Linked DNA regions of Yarrowia lipolytica. The protein of the gene in region 3 purifies or fractionates together with the protein of the main gene of each other region. This does not show direct contact. Links are inferred from orthologs where the notes say so. Each region holds a gene or a part of one and is shown on either strand. Other genes may lie near its edges.

Region 1 (7,544 bases), on a different chromosome or scaffold from region 3:
GTGCCATGGACACAAGCCTTGGATTACGATTCCAATTTGTCCGGAGCTCCTAATAGTGTTCTCCATTTTCCCTCTGAGAGAGAGTAATTACCATCAATCACCACCAGAGGATCAACAAAGACCTTTCAAAAGGTGTATAAAGTGCTACAGTGATCAAATGATCAATTACCATTCCCAAGTTCCTCGTCTCGGACTCTACTGCTACGCTACGCTACTGGCTTCCGGGATAATGCTTACGGTCCAGACCAGGGACGGTCAGTCATTCTACTCGTAAAGCAGTTTACTGCAGGATACGATAATCAACCTATCAGTACTGTATCATTCACTGTTTACACATTAGCTACCCTAGCAAGAGCAACTTACTTGACTACATACTGTACCTACTTGCATCGATGTGTTTGTACTGAAAATATTCGCCGTTGTTCCAGCGCAAAGGGCACGCATTGGAATGGTTTAGAGACAAGATATAATTAGCCCTAGCACTTGTCACTTTGGACAATTGGCTTGAACACGTGACTCTTCAGCCTGAATTATTACCCATCGTTCCATTCTACTTAGACAAACATCTTGAATTGATGCTCCTGAATGCCAGAAGAGAGATAGAGAAAAACAGAGCCGATTATTGTATTTATTGGACCTCATTATGCCATATTTTTAACTCCCAAACTCCACTGATAGACCCCTTATCGAGTTATGACAAACCTCATTTGTAGCACATACGGAACATGTCCAGTCCAGGTTTAAATATCCATTTACAGAACGCGATGGAGGTGCTAGACACATAGGGACTTCATTATTGAAATCTTTGGCCTCTATAGAGATTGTGTACCATTTGTGTCTATACCTCAAAGTGCTCTGGAACGAAAACATAGCGCAGACTTGGAGGCGAACAACTACTTTTATGAAAAAACAGATACAAAAAAAGAAGACTTAAAAACAAAAACAAAAACAAAAAAAAAAAAAAAAAAAAAAACACGACATGACGTATAAATAATATATACATTCTCTCCTTCTTACTCTACAGACATATACACTCAAAAGAAGCGGGCCGGTCATCAGAAATCCACCAACATTGTCACGTGTTTGACCAAAAGATGTGTTCAGCAGTCAACTGAACCACGAGAGCTCACCGCAGAGTTCACCGCAGATGTACTCTCCCATTCTCCAGCAAAGGCGTCGTAGTACTACTGGTGGAAACGACTACACCTCCTCCTACAAACTTGCGTCTTCTCTGTTCCTACCTCCTCCCCCCTCCCCCAATACAATCATCATAAATATACATTATTACTTGAAACTGAGCTTTACCGACAACCGCTTGACCTCCTTTTTTTTGGGACCGGGATTTGTCGTGATCCTGAAGCCCGGCCTCACCGAATACTTGACCTTTGGGTTGTTCTTGGATACCACCACAATCTCCGACCTCTGCGCCTGCTCCTTGAGCCGCTTGCTCTTGATGGCAGGCAACACGGCCGTCTTCTCCGGAGCAGGAATGTTGGACTCCACCCGCAAAGCCAAAGAACTTCCAGAAGAATAGTCTACGCCCAACTTGATCAGACTGGGGGTCGACAACTTGACCTTGAAAGCATCCACAGGTACAAACAGCACCTGACACACGTCTAGCAACTGCGACTTGGCCTCCAGACCGTGGTATGGACTTCGTAGCGAGTCCCACAGCTCAGTCTGGAGACTGGTGTCCTGCCGGAGCATGTCTCGAAGAATATCTGCAGCCCCAGTAAGCGACGTTCGAGCCATCTGCACCTTTCGCGCCTCCATCGCCGCCTGGGTACCATCATCGACAATCATACCGTCATTGTCATCGGCATGGTTATCTGCAGACATATCACCCTTGATGGCCAAAGTGCCGAGATACCGCGTGAAGAGGTCGATGATGCCGTTTCGCACCCGCGCAGAGTCGTCCAGAGCAGCCGAGGCGAACACATAATGCATAATGTAGTGGTTTCGAAGCCCACCAATGTGCAACATAGCCTCGAAAGCTGCCAGACGCACCTCCGATGAGTTGACAGAACGCGTGAACTGGATGAGATCCTGCAGCTTGGCAGAAAATAGACCCTTGAGAAAGAGCCGCTTCTTGGCCTCCAATGCAGCCACAGTCACCACGTTCTGGTACGACGGAATCCAAGTGTCCAGGCGACCACACCGATCAATCTCGTTGACTGCACGGGCAGCAAATTCACGAGTAGACTCGTCGTTGCTGTCTGACGAACACAAGACATCGGCCAAAAACGTAATCAGATCAGACAGGTAGAACGAGTCACTCATGGAGTTGGTTGAATTCTCATTGTAGGCCAAAATGTCTAGAATCAGCGTCCGGATCTCTGCGGGACACTCGCCATCTCCATTTCTGATCTGAGAAAAGGCTCGAGTAATGGCCTTTTGCACGAAATATGTGGGGAAATCCGAAAAGTCGTTAGATCGAGGAATAGACGAGTTGGGGAAACAGAACAAGTTCTGAAAGGCCTTTAACAGATGCGTCTGACCAATGTAAGACGTTTCCGAAACTGCCATCTTCACCAACCCAAGTGCTGCTGCCACTCGAACTCCATAATAGTACCGCCGATCAATCAATGTACGTAGCAGGATCGTCGAATATACCTTGGAGGGTCGCGACTCGGCAAAGAACTGCACCGATTCGTACTGGGCAACCACATCTCGATCCTGTTGAAGCTGAGAAGCGTACATGTAATCGGGTTGGTTGACATGGATCTTACAAATCCATTCGAAATCTGCGTCGATTCGGAGCCACTCAAACGCCTCATTGGACATGCGCATCTCCTCATCCTTGCCCCACTCACTGAGCTCCCACTCTTCCAACTCTGCATCGGTCTGTAGCACATCGCCCAGACACGAGATGACCACACCGACCTCATCCTCCTCATTGTTTGAAGCAGAAGCTGCAGGAGGCGCCGCAGTTGCAGTAACAGTGGCCGCAGCTTCCACCTCTTTCTTGTTCCGCTTCAGCCGCTTATACTTTGTGTTGTACTGGATATCAAGTTTGGTAAAAATGTGCTTGATATCCACCACATGCTCGTAGGGAGTACCATCAGCCTCGTGGATTCGAATTGTAATGGGACCAGTAAAAAGTGGCGTTTTGGGACCTCCTTCCTCCTCATCCCCATGATCCACTCCCTCTTCACTCCGAATAACGTCCCCAATAAAGGTATCCTCCACAGGTTTCTTCTCGCCGCTCTTGTCGGTCTGGGTCTGCCGAATACCCATTTCAATGAACATTCGCTTCTTGTTGAACCGCTGGGTGACCTGCAGTACAGGAACACCACTCGAGTACACCCACTGGTCAAAGAACTCGTCCAGCTTGCAGTGCGAAACTCGCTCACACAGCTTGTAAAAGTGGTTTGTGCCCAGAGCATTGTTGACAAGATCACCAGAAAGAGACTGCAGAAAGATACGGGGAATGACTCGAGAAAGACCAAACGTCTTGTCGATTTTGGTCATTCGACGATCCAGAATAAACAAAACTCCCGGAGCCTTCAGGTTGATGAAGCTCAGATCCTTGGGAAACAGAGGGAATCGAAAATGGGGCTTGGCGAGCGGTGGGCGACCCACATCTTCCTCACAAATCATCTCAGCCAACCGCTTAAACCGGTACCGGTACTCGTTATTGCCCATCAGACGCTTCATGAACAGAGCAGCCATGTAAATAGCCAGACCTTGCGTCAACCACGTGTCGTTCCAGGTGCGTGGCACAATGTTGACACCACACCATTGGGTAGTCAGGGCAACTGTGAGAGCTTCTGTGGACGAAAGCAGGGGATCCACTACATCCGGAGGATACAGAAAATCGTCAGAGGCAACACAGAGACCCCCAGACGCGCCCATCTGTGCCTTGCCATACTCAGACACAAACACCACGCTCATGGCGTCGAACGGGAATGAACCATACTCATTGGTCAGAAACTCGATGGCCTTGTGTAGGAAGACACATGTGTTTGAGGCGTCGGAAACCTGGTCCGGAAGAGCAAACACCTTGATGGGGAATCCTGCTGGTGTTCCTCCGTCCTCGTCTTCGTCTGTGTCTCTGAAATCAGGCAGAGGCGCCTCCACAAATGGACCCACAGCAAAGCCAATGTGCTGGGCCGAGACGGGGTTCCAGAGGGAGTAAGCAATGGTCTTTTTGGATGCATCGGCGTGGGACAGCTCCTCCACCACAGCTCCATTTCCCACCACCTCAATTTCGATTTCCATTTCCAGATCAAGTTCCTCTTCCTTGTCGTCCTGCTCCATCTCCTCATCCTCATCATCGTCGTCAACGGTCTGTTTTGGCGACCCGGTTTCTGTTGTGAGTTCCTTTTTGACCACATGCTCGTCGGCAAGTTCTTCCTTGACACGTGGAGTGGCTCCTTCGAGACCCTCGTCGTCGTCTGCGTCCTCCATATCGACGTCGGGCTCCTCTTCCTCGACCCTTGCTCCTCCTAGACTGCCCACCGTTCGGGGCACCGTCACCTCAAACTGCCACGTGCATCGAGACCACAGACCGTCCACACACGGCAGCCAGTGGCTGGTGGCCGCTCCTATGGGTGCGTGGGTTGTGTATGCATGCCAGAACGACTTTTTGAGCCTCGATCCATGGCCCCCGACAAACGTGACTCCCGTCTTGGGATCCCGGACCACAAACGAAATGGTGACAATCAGAGGAGCGTACACCCCGACGGCCTCCTCATCTGCGGCGGGCCCTGTTTCCCGTGACGTGTCCTGATAGCTCACCTTGACGCCTCGCGGCAGATTCACCTCCAGCTCTCCCTCCAACACCTCCTTGTGGGCGTGATCAATGTACTTTCGGTAGAGATGGTGCTGATGGACGTCCGAGACGGTGCGCGAGTCGCTGAACGCCTCGTAGCCGCTGGCGTCGTGATGTGTGAACGTGGCCTTTTTGCCGTTCACCAACACAGACTTGATCTGCGCCTGCCGACAGTCGAACCGAAACTGCCGTATCGACAGGTCCGACGGCACAATCGTGATTTCCGTGGAGCCGCGCAGCACCTTTTCCCCGAGATCCACGTCCAGCGACACCTTCTGGTGCGCCACATTGAATCCCCGCGACATGCTGTAGAATGGTTGGTTTCTGTGTGTAACTGAGTGGCGTCGCAACTGTGGTTGGTGATGGTGATGGTGTGCAATTACAGGTGCATAAGGTTTGGCGGTAGCGGGGAGAGGTCTAAGGAAAAGCGTCGGGGATGGGCGAGAGGCGATGAGGACGGGTTTGGTGGAGACAGGTGGTGTTGGAGATTCCGGCAATATTCTCCTTTTTACGATAGGAGTGGTCCTGGGTGAGTTGGAGAGTGTTGTTTTGGCGAAGCAGTGTAAGTAACTACAAAGTATTGGGTCAACTAAAACGGAGCTTTTTTAACTAAACTTTAAGGATAGATCGGAAGAGCGGTCAGCAGGAATATTACGATTATTAATAAAATATTATAGAATAAAAAAAACAAAATAAAACAAAATAAAACGAAATAAAACGAAAATAAAACAAAAAACATGGAAATAAAACCAATTACCAGTCCCAAAAGTCACCCATAACCATGCATTACCAAAATAACGAAAATAAAACCAATTTTCAGTCTCCAATAACCATGCATTACCATCTATATAGCTCATTCTCACACCTTTACTCATTCTTGAACCCCTTGAAGTACTTGACTCGAAAGTCCTCAGCCTTACCGCCTTCAGTCTTTCTCAACTCGCCCTTATCGCCCTCCTTTCGTCGCCTGTACACCAAACACCGTCGCGACCACTGGTTGAAGTCCTGCACACAGTTGCAGATGAGCTCTAGATCCTCATGGAGAGGAATCTCGGCGTCTGTGTAGTCCTGGTTGGCGGTGGGCATCCAGAAGGCGAGCCGGCCGTCTTCAACAAGTCGCTCAGCCGAGAAACTCAACAGAGCATCCATCATCTTTCCAAACTCAAACGGCTTCTTTGGAGGAATGTAATCTCGACGAGTATGCGCCAGCTGACCGTCCACCAGAGTCGTTTCCAGATGCTTCTTCTTCTCAACGTCCTCCTCTCGCACTCCCAGGACTTTGAGACCCTCCCGAACTCCGTAGGGAGGATCACAGACGATGGAATCGAACTTGAGACCCTTTCGGAACGAGTTGTTGGTGAAGTCGACCGCCAAAACGTCCAGAAGCCGGTTAACGGAGTTGTACTGTTTGAAGTTGGCAGGAATATCGCATCCTTTACCCTTGCCTCTGATCATGCGCACATCGATGTCCGAACCCACCGTGAGAGCTCCAAACGCTGCCGCAGCCACCAGAAACGATCCGGTGCCGGCAAAGGGATCGTACATGAGCCCGTTTCGCTTCACATGCGCCAAATTGCACGTCAAAAGAGACAATTCAGCGTCAAACGACGTCGTGCCGATATATTTGCGTTTCTTGAGATCAAAAGTGTCCATGGCACTCCGGTTGGAGTTGGCAATGTGTCGTCCAAAGAATATTCGCGCGGGAGCGGGTTCGGGGTTCTGCCCGATGACTCGGTAGTCCTCCAGAATGGTGAACACGTGGTCCGGCGACTTCATTTTGATCTTTCCCTTGAAATCCATGTATGAAAACCCCTCCACCATCTTGATAAACTCCTCCTTGGGTCGCGAAGATTGGTATCCAATGATTTCAAACTTGAACGAGTCGGTGGCATACTTGGGCCACAGTTGGCTGGTCTGGGTCTTGATCTGCTCGTGAAGCTCCTCCATGGACGCAGCTGGACCGCCCCAAAGCTCGTAGATGGACTTGGCAAGCACGGATCGTCGAATCAGCTTTTTGGCAGCCTCGTCGTTCTCCAGCTCCACAATCATGAACGGAGACGACTCGTCATGGGACGACAAGTCAACGGCGATATTTTCGAGCTGGGCCAGGGCGGTGAGTTCGGCCAGCCGAAACTGCATGTGCGTTTGCGACAGCAACAGCAGGTACTTCATTGCTTCTGTTTGTGTGGTGTTTTTTTTTTTTTTCAGATCAGTAGTCGCATTATCAAAATATTTTTTAGACTTTGACTTTTTTTTTAACATAATCATTTACAGGAATCGAACACACGACGTTTCGATATTTTCCCCAATTGGGGGAATGGGTTAGGGTAAAACAGAGTGCATAGTGACACCGCAGAGGGAGGTTTTCTCCTCTACCACACACACACACATACATAGCGACTAGATAGTTAACATGTCTGGACTCGACGACGACGACGATTTTCTCAACGATATTTAGTGAGTACTCCACGCGACCGGCGACGTGACACAGATAGGTATTTAGAGTATCTAGGTGGATATAGGGCTTTTGTTTTGTGTGGGGGTGGAGGGAGAGTTGCCAGAGATGTACTTGCACAATCTAGATGTATGGTATTAGTGGTCGGAAGGGTGGTTGGAAGGATGGTTGGAGGGGTGGGTTGACCAGGGAGAGTTCCGATTCCTGAGGTGTTAAAGCAGTCAAAGGGAGATCAGTTGCAACGGTCAGACTGAAGACCCATTTCGGAACTGATCACCATCGACTTGTGCCGAGTTTGCATAGCCCAGCTTCCCT
Region 2 (4,698 bases), about 2.2 Mb from region 3:
TTCATTTACGGAGCTATCACTGAGTCATGCCTCAAGGAGATGTCAACAGAAACGATGTGCTAACTACCGTACGCACTAGATATACGGTACCACTAGTTGCTAGTGAAGACGAGATAATATATTCTGTATGTATTGCCGAGAATGTGGAAGGAGGTAGCTGGTGCTCATTTAGGACTGTATAAGAAAGAGATGGTGAGATGAACTACATATTACAGTACTTATAATTCTACATCCACCTGACTGTGTGGATAAAAACACAATGCGGTACAGTACCGGTACTGTACTCGTACATTACGCACGGTACTTACCTCTTCTACTACTTGCTACTAGCCGCAGTTACTGTAGTACTGGTCTTTAATGAGTCACGCCACATCCCTAGCTATAGCTAGCTAACGAGTACCTTGAGCTACGTTAATCTCTCTAAGCGTGAGGTGAATACTTGTACAAGTAGCTCTCTGGTATTGATTTTTCACTCTTCACTAAAGGTACACTTTCCTGGTTTTACTTAGTTCTACTGGGGCTGTTTGCACATTACTGTAGCCCATCTCCACACGTAAATCAATAACATCTTACTAATATACTAATATACAAAGAACCGGGATTTCCGACGGATCTAAGGGTACCTCCTCACTCTCCAGTCCGCTTAAACATCGGGGAATCGTCGCTTTGTGAAATCCCACAGACTCTTGAGCAGATTGTCGGGGAAGGTGAACAGGTCCATGTGGAATTCACCCTCGTCGACGTTGTTGTTGATGGCCATGTCAGAAGTCTTGTTGTCCGTGACCATCTGCAGCACTCGGATGAGATCGTCCTCCTTGAGTCTCTGGAGGCCGGCAGCAAGCCGCTCCAGGTCCACGCTGGACTTTTCCAGCACTTTGCTCTTCTTCTTGAGCTTGGAGTCGTCCTCCTCGGCCCGTCGCTTGTCTGGTGCCGGAGAGGCCGCCTGCGCAGAGTATCCAGGCACGGGGCCCGTTTCGGCCAACAGCTTGGCCAGACCAGGCCGATTGGTAGGGAACTTTAGGTTGTGAATCACCTCGTACTTGGACTTTTGGAAGTTGAGGTCGTGAGTGACCGACTGCTTGGGGCCCTTGTCAGCTGGCACGAACACAATCTTGAGATCGAACTCTCCCCATCCTTGCTCCTCGATTCGAAACGGAGGCTTCTTGAACGTTCGGTTGGGGTTGACGAACGTGGGGTGCAGCTGGTAGATAACCTCATCGAACATCGTGGCGGGCACCTCCTCACCTTTGTCGTTGAGCATCGAGATCTCGATGGCCCACTTTCGCATGGGAAATCCTTCCTGCTGCGGAGGCACGTCGTCTAGCACCTCCTGGGTGGTTGTGATTTTTATTTGTCGTTGGACCTGGGTTAGCATGGAGACATCATATTGAAACATCGAGGCTCACAATATTTCAATTCTGCATCCTCCTCCAGCCTCAAGGCTCCCTCTTTCAACTTCGTACTCACTGTAGGGGGCGCCATTGTATCAATAGTCCGCTGTCTAGTCTTGTATCGTTCTGTGTGTGACGCGCCAGCCTCGAGAATGCAGCAGGCTAATTTAGCCCCGGTTGTCAGTTCGATTTTGCATCTCTCCATATACTTGCCAAGGTTTGGGGTTCGATTTGTGGTTGAGTTAATTTAAAATATGCAATAATTGGGTCATAGCCATATGGTGATGCAATATATTGTAATCGCAATCAAATGAATCATCAAGCTGTGCTTAGCTTTGAGGTGATCGAATATATATATCATACGCCGTCCGGTTAATCAGATATGATCATCTACAATTCTATAGTGTACATCCCTTAATTACATAAACAGTAACCTGCTAACATAAACAGCTTATAAAACATCATCAGCTGAAAACACCGCTTTACACTACAGGAGACATATCAAGTATACCACCGCAATAAAAAGACTGTTGCTACTAGCCCTGAAACTTAGGCCTGCATCAGATGAGAACTGGACAGGTTTCGTACCTTTCTTGCCTCTGTCATCCGAACTGCCACGCTGACCAGTTCGGCCGTTATCGTTCTTGTTGTTGGCTTCCACATCTCCGCGAGCAGGTGAACGAGTAGGAGGATCAATGACTCCTGGGCGAGGGTAGTTGGGAATCTTATCCTGAGCCGTCTGGTTGTACCGCGGGCAATTGGGATCCCAAAAGTAATTGGCGTCGTCTTCGGGCTCGTTGATGGCATCAAATATCTGTTTGTTGGGCACTCCTCGTCGCGCATCGATCCCACGATTGTGGGGCACCTTGTAAGAGTGTTTTCCCACCTTCATTCCCTTTGTTTGAATCACCAGACCATCCAGCCAGTCGGGTTCGTACTCCAGGTCAAAGTTCTGCGAAGTGCTGTGTTTGATGCGGTTAGCAGACTCCTTGTGCTGCTTTGCCTGGATTTCCTTCGATGCCATATTCAGCTTGTGTCGACGCTCACTCAGACTCTGATACCACTGGTCGTAGCTCTCGTCGGTCGATTCCGAGCGTCGCGAAAGGATAGGTCCAGTGGACACGTGGACTGGAGTCGAGTAGATGGGTCGTGCCAGAACTGACACGACGCGCAGTGTCGAGATTAAGATGGTAAGTAGATTCATCTTGAGGTGGGGCTATCGGGTGGGTGCGAGAAGTGTGTGCCAAATGTTTATATCTGTATATCAGTGGTGAGGTATGAGTCCTTGTATCAACGGTGTGTATCAATGGTGTGTCAGTGGAGTGTATCGGTGACGGTCAGGTATCGCGGTTTCGATGTAGGTATCACTGTCTGCAAGTGGTAACAGCAAAAGATGACCAGTGGAGCAAGTTTCTGTGTCCAAGTATACACGTCAGTACAGTAGGTATCAAGCGAGTATCGTGTAAAGCAATACTGTGGTATTTGGATATTATCAGAGAGGTGTGTGGGTGAGCAAGTTGAGTGATGGTTAAGAGGACAGGAGCGCAAACTGTGTTCAAGGTTATAGGTGTTGAACACGACATACTGTACATACTGTAGCACAACAGTGTCACCAGAGGAACATTGTAACAGTATTGAAACACAATTAGCTAGCTACTGTAGTGGTAAATTTGAGACCTGTTGGAACATAGGTGCATCAAAATTTCAACTCGACTATACACACAATCACAAAAAGGTGGTTTCTGGGACACTGATGAAAACCCATCACAAACAGCTCGTATAATCCTCGCTTTAAGGAAAAAAATGCCTTCGACCAGATTTGAACTGATGATCTCAGCATTACTAGTGCTGCGCCTTACCACTTGGCCACGAAGGCGGCTTGTTTCTCCATCAGTGGTTGGACTCACTGGAGACTGGTTTTGATTTGTCAGCTGCAATGAATCATTAGAATAAAAAAATGTAATGAACCCATTTGAATAAAAAAAATTAAAAAAGTAATAAATATAATACATAAAAAAAATTAAAAAAACCAGATAGTGCTTGAGAGAGCATTTTGACAAGATATCACGTAATGCAGAATTGTTTGAGAGCCCATTCACGCCCTTACAAGTGCTTCTATCTTAATTTGAGCCTAGTTGTACAAGTACGAGAGAGAGAGACAAATGGGAGACGCATACAAAAAAATCTTGTAGAAGTACAAGTCCAACTTCTTATCATCCGACATCAAGATTCTAAAGAATAAATATATTTAAATCATTCCTACAATGAATTCAATACGCAATCACTTGACTAATACACCAATCCTATACATCATAGCTACAATCCATCATTCTGATTATACAAAGTAGTACTGTACATGGATTATGCACTGATTATGCGAATATCTCAGTGACGAGTAAAGATGTACTACGTCAGAGAGGAAAGCTATGGACGACGCGTGACAGACTCAAGTAAATTGTATGTGTCCTGTCATTACTGTTGCTGTCATTGATTTCTGCAGATCACTAAGTAAGGCAGATGTTTAGATGACGTGCTTGGACTTCCCTGGCAGCTGGTGGAAGCTGCTACTCTTTCTATAGCGGTGAAACTTCCCACTTGTACTTAATCTGCGAATGTGTCAACGTTCCAAGTGGTTAACTCTTCAAAAAGCTAGGGGGCTGACCAACCAGGTCAATAACACTTTTCAGCTTCTAACATCCTTCTCATTATGTACATACTATACTCAAACATGGCCAGTAAGCGTTGCGCTAACCCACAATTTAGCCCTGGACACTTTATCAGCTACCATATATGCCTCAATGGTAGCTTCACGTTCGGCTCAGATAGCGCCAACCCAGGAAGTGAGGACATTTCTAACCGTTCAGACACCCCCGACGAGCTAGAGACTTTTTGCACAATCAATTGTGGTTAAAGGCCAGGCCAAGAGGTGCTTGAGAAACAGACACTTCCATCAAAACAACCTGTGGGGACCCATGTCTTCGCAGGTACCAACATTTCTCAACAATTGCTCCAGACCCAAATAACAAGTCCATCTACGCCTGGAACATCGCCTGAACTCATCCCCAGAGCTTTTGAGAACTTCTTGAGACTGTTTACAAGTGTATTCCTCCTTTCTGTCACAATATACTGTATAGGGCGCAGATACATCTCGACATATTACAGCAGAAACAAGTCATGAAGGCCCTGAATCGGAAGAATGACCATTTTGTACAACTTCAGGTTCAAGAATGTTTCTGGTTGACATTGAATCGAAACAACTAGACTTTCTGATAGCTCTCGGGAAGGCAGAACGAGGCTGGAGAGGCAA
Region 3 (5,187 bases):
CTGGCCGATGAGCGAAGCGTGGTAGATGATACCGTACTTGGGGGTATCGTGCTTGGTCTTGAGGGCTCGGAAAAGGGCCTTCTCGGCACCAAGAATCTGGACGGTGGAGGCGGGGGCCTTGGCGAGGTTGACGAGGGAGCCGGAGTGGGCAATGAGCCGGGCACCGACGAGCTCGCCGACGAGGGCGGTCAGGTTGGGGGCAATGGCGGCCATTCGGGCGTTGAGGTAGTTGGAGAGCTGTTCTCGGTACTCGGCAAAGTCAATGACCTGGTCGGCGAGGCACTGGATGTTTTCGAGGTCAAACTCGGTGATTTCCGTACCCATGGAGACCTCGGCGGCAACCTTGAGGGCGGCCTCAACCTCCTCGGGGAGCACCTCAGACAGATCGGTCTCGGAGGCGTTGGATCGGTAGCCCATGGTCTTGATGACTCGGGCGTAGGCAATGTTGTCGGCGACAATCTTGGCCATCTCGGGGAAGTGCCAGCCGTACCACTCCTTGATTCGCATGGCGTATGTGTTGAGCTCCTTGTCCAGATCATCTAGTAATGCGATGGCCTGCACAATCATGGTGTCGACCTTGTCGGGGGAGAACTTGAGCTTGTGTCGTCCCAGCGAATGGGCCAGACCCAGGCTCATGGTGGCCAGGTCCTTCTCGGTGAGGCCGGGCAGCAGAGAGGGCAGGTTTTCTCGGATGGCTCGGAAGAGATCGAGCGAGGCGGACTCGGCAACCACGTCAAATGGCAGATCCAGCTTGTTGATGGCGTTGCCCAGCTTGGGGTCGGCCACCACCAGAGCAGACTTCTTCTCGTCCTTGAACTCGTTGAGCAAAGCAGCGAGCTTGTCGGAGACCCGGCCATCCACAATGGCGTTGACCTCCTCCAGAGCAGAGGCGGCAGAGTCAAACTTGGAGAAGCCCTTGACCTTGAACTGCGAGGTCACCAGCTCGGGGGTCGACAGCTCCTCGAGAATCGACTCCGACTTGTAGATCTTCTTGTCCTTGGCCTTAAGCACGGCGTAGCCGGCAGACGTTTCCGTCAGAATAAATGTCATGGTGTCGTGTGTGGGCGGTGGTGACGTAGATGACAAGTGCGGTTGTCAAGTGTAGTCAGTGGAGATGGATGGGAAAAAAATTTGGGACGACTAAATTTTTTCCAAAGTTTATTTTAGGGTTAGGGCCCAGGCGAGACAAGCCCAGATGAGAGTGTAGCGAATGTCTGGGCGAGTCTGAGCGGGGAAACATCTGAACTGATACATGTGGTATTTTCTGACCATTTCCCCATTTTCCCATTTTCCATTCTCATTTTGCCATCTTTCATTTTTTCCATATTTTCTCCAATTTTTCCAATTTTTCCAATTGTCTTTTTTTCTTTTATCCATTTTCCATTTTTCCATTTTCCATGTCCCATCGTTTCCACAGTGAAAATTCTTCTCCTAATTTTGCTGTGATTCAGGAGGCTTGAAATGGGGTTTTTTTTAGGGAAATGATTTATTGATTTGAGATTTGATTTTATCTGATTTATTTTGATTTTCAGATTTTCCGGTCCCAATTTTCCCATTTTATTTCAGATTTTCCGGTCCCAATTTTCCAAAAAAATTCCCACGCTACACCACATCTAAATACGGTCGAATCTTCCTAGACGGCTCCATATTTCCACTAATTTCACAATAAAGTAGGTACATTGTGCGATTTTCTTTTCTTCCTTTTCTCTTTTTTTATCCCATTTTTTTGTATATATTTGTATATATTTTTATATTTTTTTTCATTTATTTATTTAATTTCTAGTTATTTTTTATTTATTTTAATTCATTTGCTGAACCGCTCTTCCGATCTGCATATCACTGCAGAAAGTGATATCGATAAAAAAATAGTCAGATATACTCAAGTGGAGCCAAACGGAAACAGGATCGACGGGATTGAATGATCACGTGATGAGAACAATGGGTACTTTCAGGGTGGTCACGTGATCAGAGTCTTGGTCGGCGCGGTGGGGGTGACCTTGACTGACCTGGGGGGGGGGAATGTCTGATGGGCTGTCGCTGACTAAGGTGATAATAGGGCAGAATTCGTAATGCAGAATTTGTAGATTAGGAGATTCTTGGATGCTCACGGTGATGAGGTACTCGTATTGTAGGTACTCGTAGATATGTCTTACCGAAAACAAGTGGACGAGATCACCTTTTGACGAAAGAGACACTCTTTTGGCGATTCCAGAGACTCTGTTTGGCTTCCCACGACTTCTGATGTATACACTGACTCTCATCTTGAAGCTCCAACATTGCTCAGATTTGAATGGTTGAAGTTGCAGTTTGTTAATGGGGTTGTTTTAAATAGTATGCTCCATTCAATATTTCTCATTTGTTCTTTGATTGTGTTGAAAAACATGAAAACTATCTGGAAAGGGTTTGGTAACAGTAGCTAACCAAGTTTCAACAAATGACACCAGAATGCTAACCAATTTTCAACAAATGTCAACAAGTAAGATTTCAGATAAGTTCGTCTCCCGCCGACCGTCCACCCGAAATATTAATACCATTGTGGAGCTGTGATTGAGGAGATTCCAAATATTTTATTTTCGACACGATTTCATTGACCTACCGAGAACTGGAGGGCCCGTCTGGTTCTAAATAAACTTTCTGCACTTACTCCAGACACTTGTCACCACTTTTAGCCACTCTCTCCACTTGACCAATGATCAAAATCAAGCTGAAGCCCGAAAAACGGTCGCCGGAGGCATCGCCGGAGAAGCGGCGGACCAAGAAGCGCAAAACGGATGAGGAAGGGGCCAAACCGAGCACTCCGTCGCTCAGCATCAAGTTGAAGGCGCCCAAAAAAGAGCGGGAGTCCAAGCCGCGGTTGTCCCTGAAACTGAGCAACAAAAAGAGCGAGAGCGCGGCGCCGGAAAGCAGCCGGGCGTCGACCGCGAGTGGCGGATCCACTAAAAAGAGCAAGGTGGTGCCGCGGATCCGAGTCAAGGCCGCCCGCGAACCGGGCCAGGGATACGACAGCGAAGCGCCGGACCGCGAAGACGATCCGCTGATTGAAGAGGGATTGATTTTGCGATTCCCACCAATCGGTAAAAGAGGCCGCGACGACCTGTCATATCTGCGGACGGCGGTGGAGAACCAGGATTACAGCAACATTGTGATTCGGTTCAAGGACTCGCGCAGGGCGGTGGTTTCTGTGCGGGGGCGGCATTACGCGGCGAAATTGGTGGACTTGCCGGCGATCGTCGAGGCCCAAAAGACGTTTGACCGCGGCAAAAACATGTTCAAGTGTCTGGACATTTGCCAAATGTTACTTGTCACCGAGCCCATTTCGTCCGAACACAGCATTATGGAGGCGCGGTCGATGCAATGGGACAAGAGCTCCAGCGAAAGCGCGCTGACCTGTCGCCATGGCCTGACTCCGCCGTTGTTTGACGCCAAACGTCGCCGATTCAGAAAAACCGTGTCCACAAAGGTGATTGAATCGGTGGAGCAAAAGGTGACGGACTTGCTGGATCTGGACGACGAGGCAGACTCCACATCATATGAGCTTGTCGATGGACGCACCCTGGCGTCCTTGTATGGAGCCGGTGGGGTTGCGGGCTCGCAATCTGTGTCTACCACTGTTTCTGCCGCCGCCACTCCTCCTCCGCGGTTTGCCATGGTCGACGAGGGAGAAATGGACGTGGATTTGCTCGATAAAGAGCTGGAGCGGGCCCTGGAGGACCAAGGCTCGGATGAGGGCGAAGAAATCGAGGCCGATGATGCGTCCGAGTCCGAAGATGAGGGAGAAGGCGCAGGTGAGTCGGACAACTCGGACGAAGAGGAATTGCCCCGAGCGTCGGCCGGAATGGACGATGACGACGACGGTGAAGAGGGAGGACACGCCAAGGTGCTGGTCGACACGATTGCAGATCTGGAGGCGACCATCAAAAAGCAGCAGGACGACGCCGACCGCACCGCCAACGCCATGCTCAAGGAGCGGTTCAACCAGCGAATCTCCAAGCTCAAACATGAGCTGGAGGTCAAGAAGAAACAGCTCAAGGCAAAGAATACCATCAAGGAGAAGAAGAAGGAGATCGATAAGAAGGAAAAGAAGGAGGAGAAGGAGGAGAGTGAGGACAAGGTGGAAAAGGGCGAGGTCAAGGACAAGGGTGTGGGCAGTGACGACGATATGGATTTGGATGATTTGTTTTAGCCGAGCTCGGCAGGGTGGGAGTTGATATGGAGAAAATCCAGACCCGAATCTATTCCGTTCCACACCAACGACAAAGTCCGATGGGTCCGCTCGTGGTCCGTTCACCAGAGGAGTCGACCTGTGAACTTCAGTCATCTCTCTACACTGCTTCGATATGCCACGGGACCTCCACCGTATGTCGTCTAACAACGGTCTGCATCGGTCTAATGAAATACAATAATTTATTCTGGTTCTGTACGAGTAGTGGAGGGTGTGTGCATGTTGTCATATGACTGGCATAGTTGTCCACGTGTTCAGTTTTCACGTGACCGGAGCACAAGATCGAGTAGTTGGTCACGTGTCCAACTTCCGCGTCTCACGTGACGACACTATGATACTTTGGTTCTGTCTGCATGAGATTCATTGACTTGGAGGTGACTTCATTCTTCCAGAGCTACATACGGTCCGTCCCCTGAAAAGAAGTGCACAACCCAGCCAATAATAAACCTATCGACGGTTAACAACAAAACAATTGTGTTCACCTGAACAAGAGCTCTTCAACGATATAATTTTTACTAATGTTCTGATTATGTAACCGTCACAAATGAGCAGTCTTGTGCAGAAGAAAGGCTTCTGTATATGGCACCTAAACAGACAATGTATATGAACATTGGGATTTAATAAACGACCCCGAAAGACATAAAAGCAGAATAAAACCACAATAATCGCCTGAAAAAAAGGCTTTGGAACACTTTGGAACACCTTGGAACCGTTTGGAACCCTTCTGACACCCCATTCAGGCTTCAGTACAATTTTCAGAATTTTCACGGACATTCCACTTTAATCTGGCCGACGAGCGTTTGTGTCTCCAACTTTTGTAATACCAGCACTGGAGGGATAAAAAGTAGTTTACTAAAACCGTGTCGTTTCGATGATTAATTTGGTACTAATTCTGACAAAATTGGGTACAATTAGAAAATAGGACAGATAGAAGTGTGCTCACACCGGAAGACATGGCAAGCTTG
Region 4 (4,348 bases), on a different chromosome or scaffold from region 3:
GCTTTGATGTATTACTTGGGGGGTTAAGTAATTATTAACAAAAGTGTTTAAGTTGGTAAATATGCAATAAATTACAAAAATGAGTATCAAAATCAATTTCTCCAGTAATTTCATGGTATATTTCATATTCATCACCTTCCCGACATATCCATTACATCCCAGTAACTACTCTCCTTTCTTGTTATGATATTCATCTAAGTTCAAACATGCATCTCCACACTTTCATATCTCCATCACCATCTTACTAACAACACACAGCAAATGGGTGTCTTGCTGTCTTGCTTAAGAGGGCCCGTTGAGGAAGACCCTCCTGGTGTGAGTATTCATTTGATTGCCGGCATCTTTTCCCCACACACTCTCTCTATGCAGATTACTAACCCAGATCTCCGAAAATGAACCTCTTCTTGGAAACAACACAATCGACACCACAGACGATAATGCAGTGGACCCTTCGGACCGCCAGAAACGCATGTCTAACCTGCATCAGATTGTGACGAGCACCGGCTCGAATCTCATCGACGTCGGCGCGGTGGCCCAGGTCGAATCCCCGAACGGCATCACCCAAAAACGAAGTGCCTCCGACTTCAAGCGCCAGCTGGACCCCGAAACAGGCATTGTGGTGCTTGCTAGCGATGCTTCTCACGTGAGCAAGGCCAACCTGAGCGAAAAGGACAAACAGGTGGTTTCCAAGCATGTCGGCAAGTTTGTGGAGCTGGTTGCCAAGGAGTCCAACGTCAAGCCGGTGGGAAAACTGGTGCAGAACTTTTCCGAGATTCAGTCGTAACCAACGGCGAGACTAGCATAGTGTATTTATATTGTTGTTGTTGACCTCAAGAATTGGAGCGTAGCGAATGGTCTTGTATAGCTTTTTCAGTACAAGTAACTAATTGTACTCGTGGTATCATGTTGTACAATGAAGCGTACGGCTGTGGAATGCATTTATGTGTACAGCAGTGTAGTTTGTGTCTCGGAATCAGTCTTTCAATGGTTTCTGATGCATCTCTTGCTCTCCCTTGAAGCACTACGAACACCTCTCGTCAAATATCCATGAAATTCCAACCTTTACTCCGGCGGAGTTCAATAATCAATAAAAATACACCTAATTAGACCGCATCCTTCATTTCCTTATCCTCATTGCTGCTGTTGTTATTGGTCTCTTCAGCTCCCTCAACAGTCTCTTCTTCCTCCTCGTCCAAATCCCACTCCTTGGCAGTGAGACAGTACTTCTCCGGGGGCAGTCTCAAGCCGTAGCCAGGCTGTACCTGTGGCAGAGCTCGTCGGTTACGTTCCTGTGCCATCTCCAGAAGCAGTTCTTTGGGTGGTGCTGGCTTGAACTGGTAGTTGACTCGAGCAGCAATAGCCAGTCGCACGTCTTCCACTGACAGAGCCGACGTGGAAACTGCTGCTGCTGCTGCGTTGGCATTTCCGCCAGATCCGCCGGAAACAGGGCCCGTCTTGTCGTTGTGAGAGTTGTTGGCGGCCGCAGCATGGTCCGAGTACAGCAGTGCATCGTGCAACACGCCTTGTGTATATCTGTAGGCAAAGTCCATGAGTTGAAGAGGCACCCGTTCCTGGTACGAGGTGACGCCCATGGAGGCCAGAATCAGATGCAGCAGACGCACGTCTCGCGGTGTGGCTGCGTTTGGAAGATCACCCGATTCCATGTGTGTGTCTGTGTGTGTTTTTTTGTGTGTCTTTCTGGTAGACGGTTATGAGTGTGAATCTTTCTGTCCTTCTGATAGAGTTGCATGTTGGATCGTGCATTATTAGGTTCAGGTTATGAGTGGTGGGTAGTGGGGAGGTGCTGGTGAATCAGGGACCTGACATAACTCTTATAAAAGTCGCAGTTGAGGTCTTTTAAAAAAGAGAAAGATGCCAAAAGGAAGTAGTTGTGTACCATCTGAGGGATATGTTGTCACCTCTTTCAAAAAATCAGATCCCAGGCATATGTTATGACGTGCTTGGCTCCCCACATACACTGCAATCCCACCCAAGAACGTGGATACATGAATAATACAGTCACCAACTGGTTATGACTAGGTCAACGAGGCCAATTGCACCAATTGAGCGCGCTCGTGACGTCCCCGCGACCTCCCCCTCGCGCCCATCTCCCTGCGCCCACCAGTTCCAACGTGACATATATTGGTCCTGTTTAACATTATGCTCTTCCACGTAGCACCAACACGGTCCCAACAGTACGACTACTTAAGCACGCCTCCTTCCCTGTTACTGCCACCACACAGCACAACAGCACACGATACTATCCACCATGAAACTGTTTGCCACCATTGGAGTTCTGCTCGTGGCTCTTCTGGCCTTCTTTGTCCAGCCTGCACAGGCCGAGCCCGACGCCGAAATCACCCACAAGGTCTACTTTGACATCAAGCAGGGCGAGGAATCGCTCGGAAAGATCGTCATGGGTCTGTACGGAGACGTGGTCCCCAAGACCGTGGAGAACTTCCGAGCTCTGTGCACCGGCGAGACCGGCAAGGGCTACAAGGGCTCCAAGTTCCACCGAGTCATCAAGAACTTCATGATCCAGGGCGGAGACTTCACCCGAGGAGACGGCACTGGAGGCGAGTCCATCTACGGCCGAAAGTTCCCCGACGAGAACTTCCAGCTCAAGCACACCAAGCCTTACAAGCTGTCCATGGCCAACGCCGGCCGAGACACCAACGGCTCCCAGTTCTTCATCACCACCGTGGTCACCAGCTGGCTCGACGGCAAGCACGTTGTCTTTGGCGAGGTTCTCGAGGGCCAGGACATTGTCGACGCCATTGAGAACGCCCCCACCGGCGCTCGATCCAACCCCAAGGTCGACATCACCATTGCTGATGCCGGAGAGATCCCCGTGGAGAAGTCCGAGACCAAGGAGGCTGAGCCTGCCAAGGAGGACGCCAAGGAGCCCAAGAAGGACGTCAAGAAGAAGGGCAAGTCCGACAAGGATGAGCTCTGACTACATGGCTCCAAAAAGAAGGCCATTGAAATCTATGATAACCTGCGGGACCGTACCCAGGCCGTGTACCAGCGGGAGAAGCACAACGCCAGCTGCTTTTTTGTTTTTCTCTTCACCGCCGCTTGTGTGATTGCCATCAAGGCCCGAGGGTCTAATGCTATCAAGCAGCGAGCTGAGTAGAGTAATGTAATCGAGAATATGTTCAAGTGATAGTACAAGAACGAGTACATACTGTAGCTGTATGTACACAATTGAGTGGTACATCTACGTACTTGTATGGTATTAAAGGGTACAGTAATTTACCCGCATAGTATCTGTATACTGTCCAAGATCTGCCTGAATATGCATCTTTGTCTGAATGGGGTATAATATATCAGGTTAAATGCAATGTCTATATGCTGGAGGGGAGAGATAGCTTCCAAGAATTTGTCGGCCCCCGATTCATTCGTCGGCTACCTCTTATTCTCATTTCGTGTTGTTCTTATTGACCATGTTGATCAATGGAATGTCGTCTCCAGAGTCTTGGGCCTCGTCGTCATACTCATAGTGCTCCTGAGGAGGAGGCTGGAGATGTTGAGGAAGGTCGTACTGTGTGCGTTTTTGCTGTTGCTGACGCTGCTGCTTGATGTAGGCCTGGTTCTGGTCTCTGATTTGGACTTCCTTAGCCGCGGCCTCTCTGATCTTTTGCAGCACCTGTTTATTAAGGGGGAACTGGGTACCGTTGCCCCGGGCCGCTTCACTGGGCTGGATAGGCAGCAGCCACATCCACCACTTGTCGCCCATGACGAGCTGGAAGTTGCGTTTCCAGCCCACGTCAAACACGTTTCCGACCGTCTTGGACGTAGGCGCAAACGTGTATCTGTATGCGGCAGTGGGCACGGCAGACCGGTACTGGGTGCTTTCCAGAAACTCGACCGTGCTCTGGTTGTTGAACACGAGGTAGAGCGAGAAGGTGGCAAACGTGCCGACCGCGATGGCAAACACCAGTGCCAGGACCATGAGGATCATGACGTTGACGGATATTGCGCCCACGTAGTCTGTGTTTCCGTCCGGGCCGCGCATGGCACCAATCTCCAGAATGTGGTTGTAGAAGACAAAGCCCGTAGAGCCGAGACAGAAGAAACACAGAATTGTCACGTACCACAGAAACAGCACAAAGTACTTGTGGTTGTGGAACCCGATGGCCGTGGCAAACCAGGGGCAGTAGTGGTCAAACTTGAGCACGCATCGCTTGTAGTTTGAGCAGTGGTGTGATCGGTCCGGTTTCCAGCCGATGCATTTGGTGCAGAACCGTAGACCTCCATTCTCCTTGGCACACACGGAGTTAGCCATCTCTCGAGGAGGCGTGAGATGTTGGCCTTCGGCGCTGCATGCGTTCTGGTACTCAACCAG

The links.
Region 1: the proteins of YALI1_B01644g (region 3) and YALI1_C19529g purify together in Saccharomyces cerevisiae (affinity purification with mass spectrometry; 5 studies listed by BioGRID, with this or other methods). This does not show direct contact. The link is inferred for Yarrowia lipolytica from reciprocal best matches to the Saccharomyces cerevisiae genes TAF7 and TAF2.
Region 2: the proteins of YALI1_B01644g (region 3) and YALI1_B23373g purify together in Saccharomyces cerevisiae (affinity purification with mass spectrometry; 4 studies listed by BioGRID). This does not show direct contact. The link is inferred for Yarrowia lipolytica from reciprocal best matches to the Saccharomyces cerevisiae genes TAF7 and TAF14.
Region 4: the proteins of YALI1_B01644g (region 3) and YALI1_E27243g purify together in Saccharomyces cerevisiae (affinity purification with mass spectrometry; 5 studies listed by BioGRID). This does not show direct contact. The link is inferred for Yarrowia lipolytica from reciprocal best matches to the Saccharomyces cerevisiae genes TAF7 and TAF9.

The regions. Positions count from the first base shown.
Region 1 is NC_090772.1:1,950,510-1,958,053, reverse strand, and holds YALI1_C19529g (uncharacterized protein), read right to left. Parts: upstream 5,080-7,544; coding exon 1,285-5,079; downstream 1-1,284. Other genes in the region: YALI1_C19510g (uncharacterized protein), read right to left, coding at 5,642-7,042; YALI1_C19500g (uncharacterized protein), read left to right, coding at 7,188-7,231. UniProt on the Saccharomyces cerevisiae protein: Functions as a component of the DNA-binding general transcription factor complex TFIID. Binding of TFIID to a promoter (with or without TATA element) is the initial step in pre-initiation complex (PIC) formation.
Region 2 is NC_090771.1:2,335,881-2,340,578, forward strand, and holds YALI1_B23373g (uncharacterized protein), read right to left. Parts: upstream 1,397-4,698; coding exon 644-1,396; downstream 1-643. Other genes in the region: YALI1_B23385g (uncharacterized protein), read right to left, coding at 1,879-2,595. UniProt on the Saccharomyces cerevisiae protein: Functions as a component of the DNA-binding general transcription factor complex TFIID, the RNA polymerase II associated general transcription factor complex TFIIF, and the chromatin-remodeling complex SWI/SNF.
Region 3 is NC_090771.1:161,760-166,946, forward strand, and holds YALI1_B01644g (uncharacterized protein), read left to right. Parts: upstream 1-2,689; coding exon 2,690-4,183; downstream 4,184-5,187. Other genes in the region: YALI1_B01628g (uncharacterized protein), read right to left, coding at 1-1,050.
Region 4 is NC_090774.1:2,722,677-2,727,024, forward strand, and holds YALI1_E27243g (uncharacterized protein), read right to left. Parts: upstream 1,665-4,348; coding exon 1,104-1,664; downstream 1-1,103. Other genes in the region: YALI1_E27229g (uncharacterized protein), read left to right, coding at 262-315, 383-784; YALI1_E27249g (uncharacterized protein), read left to right, coding at 2,270-2,956; YALI1_E27273g (uncharacterized protein), read right to left, coding at 3,422-4,348. UniProt on the Saccharomyces cerevisiae protein: Functions as a component of both the DNA-binding general transcription initiation factor complex TFIID and the transcription coactivator SAGA complex.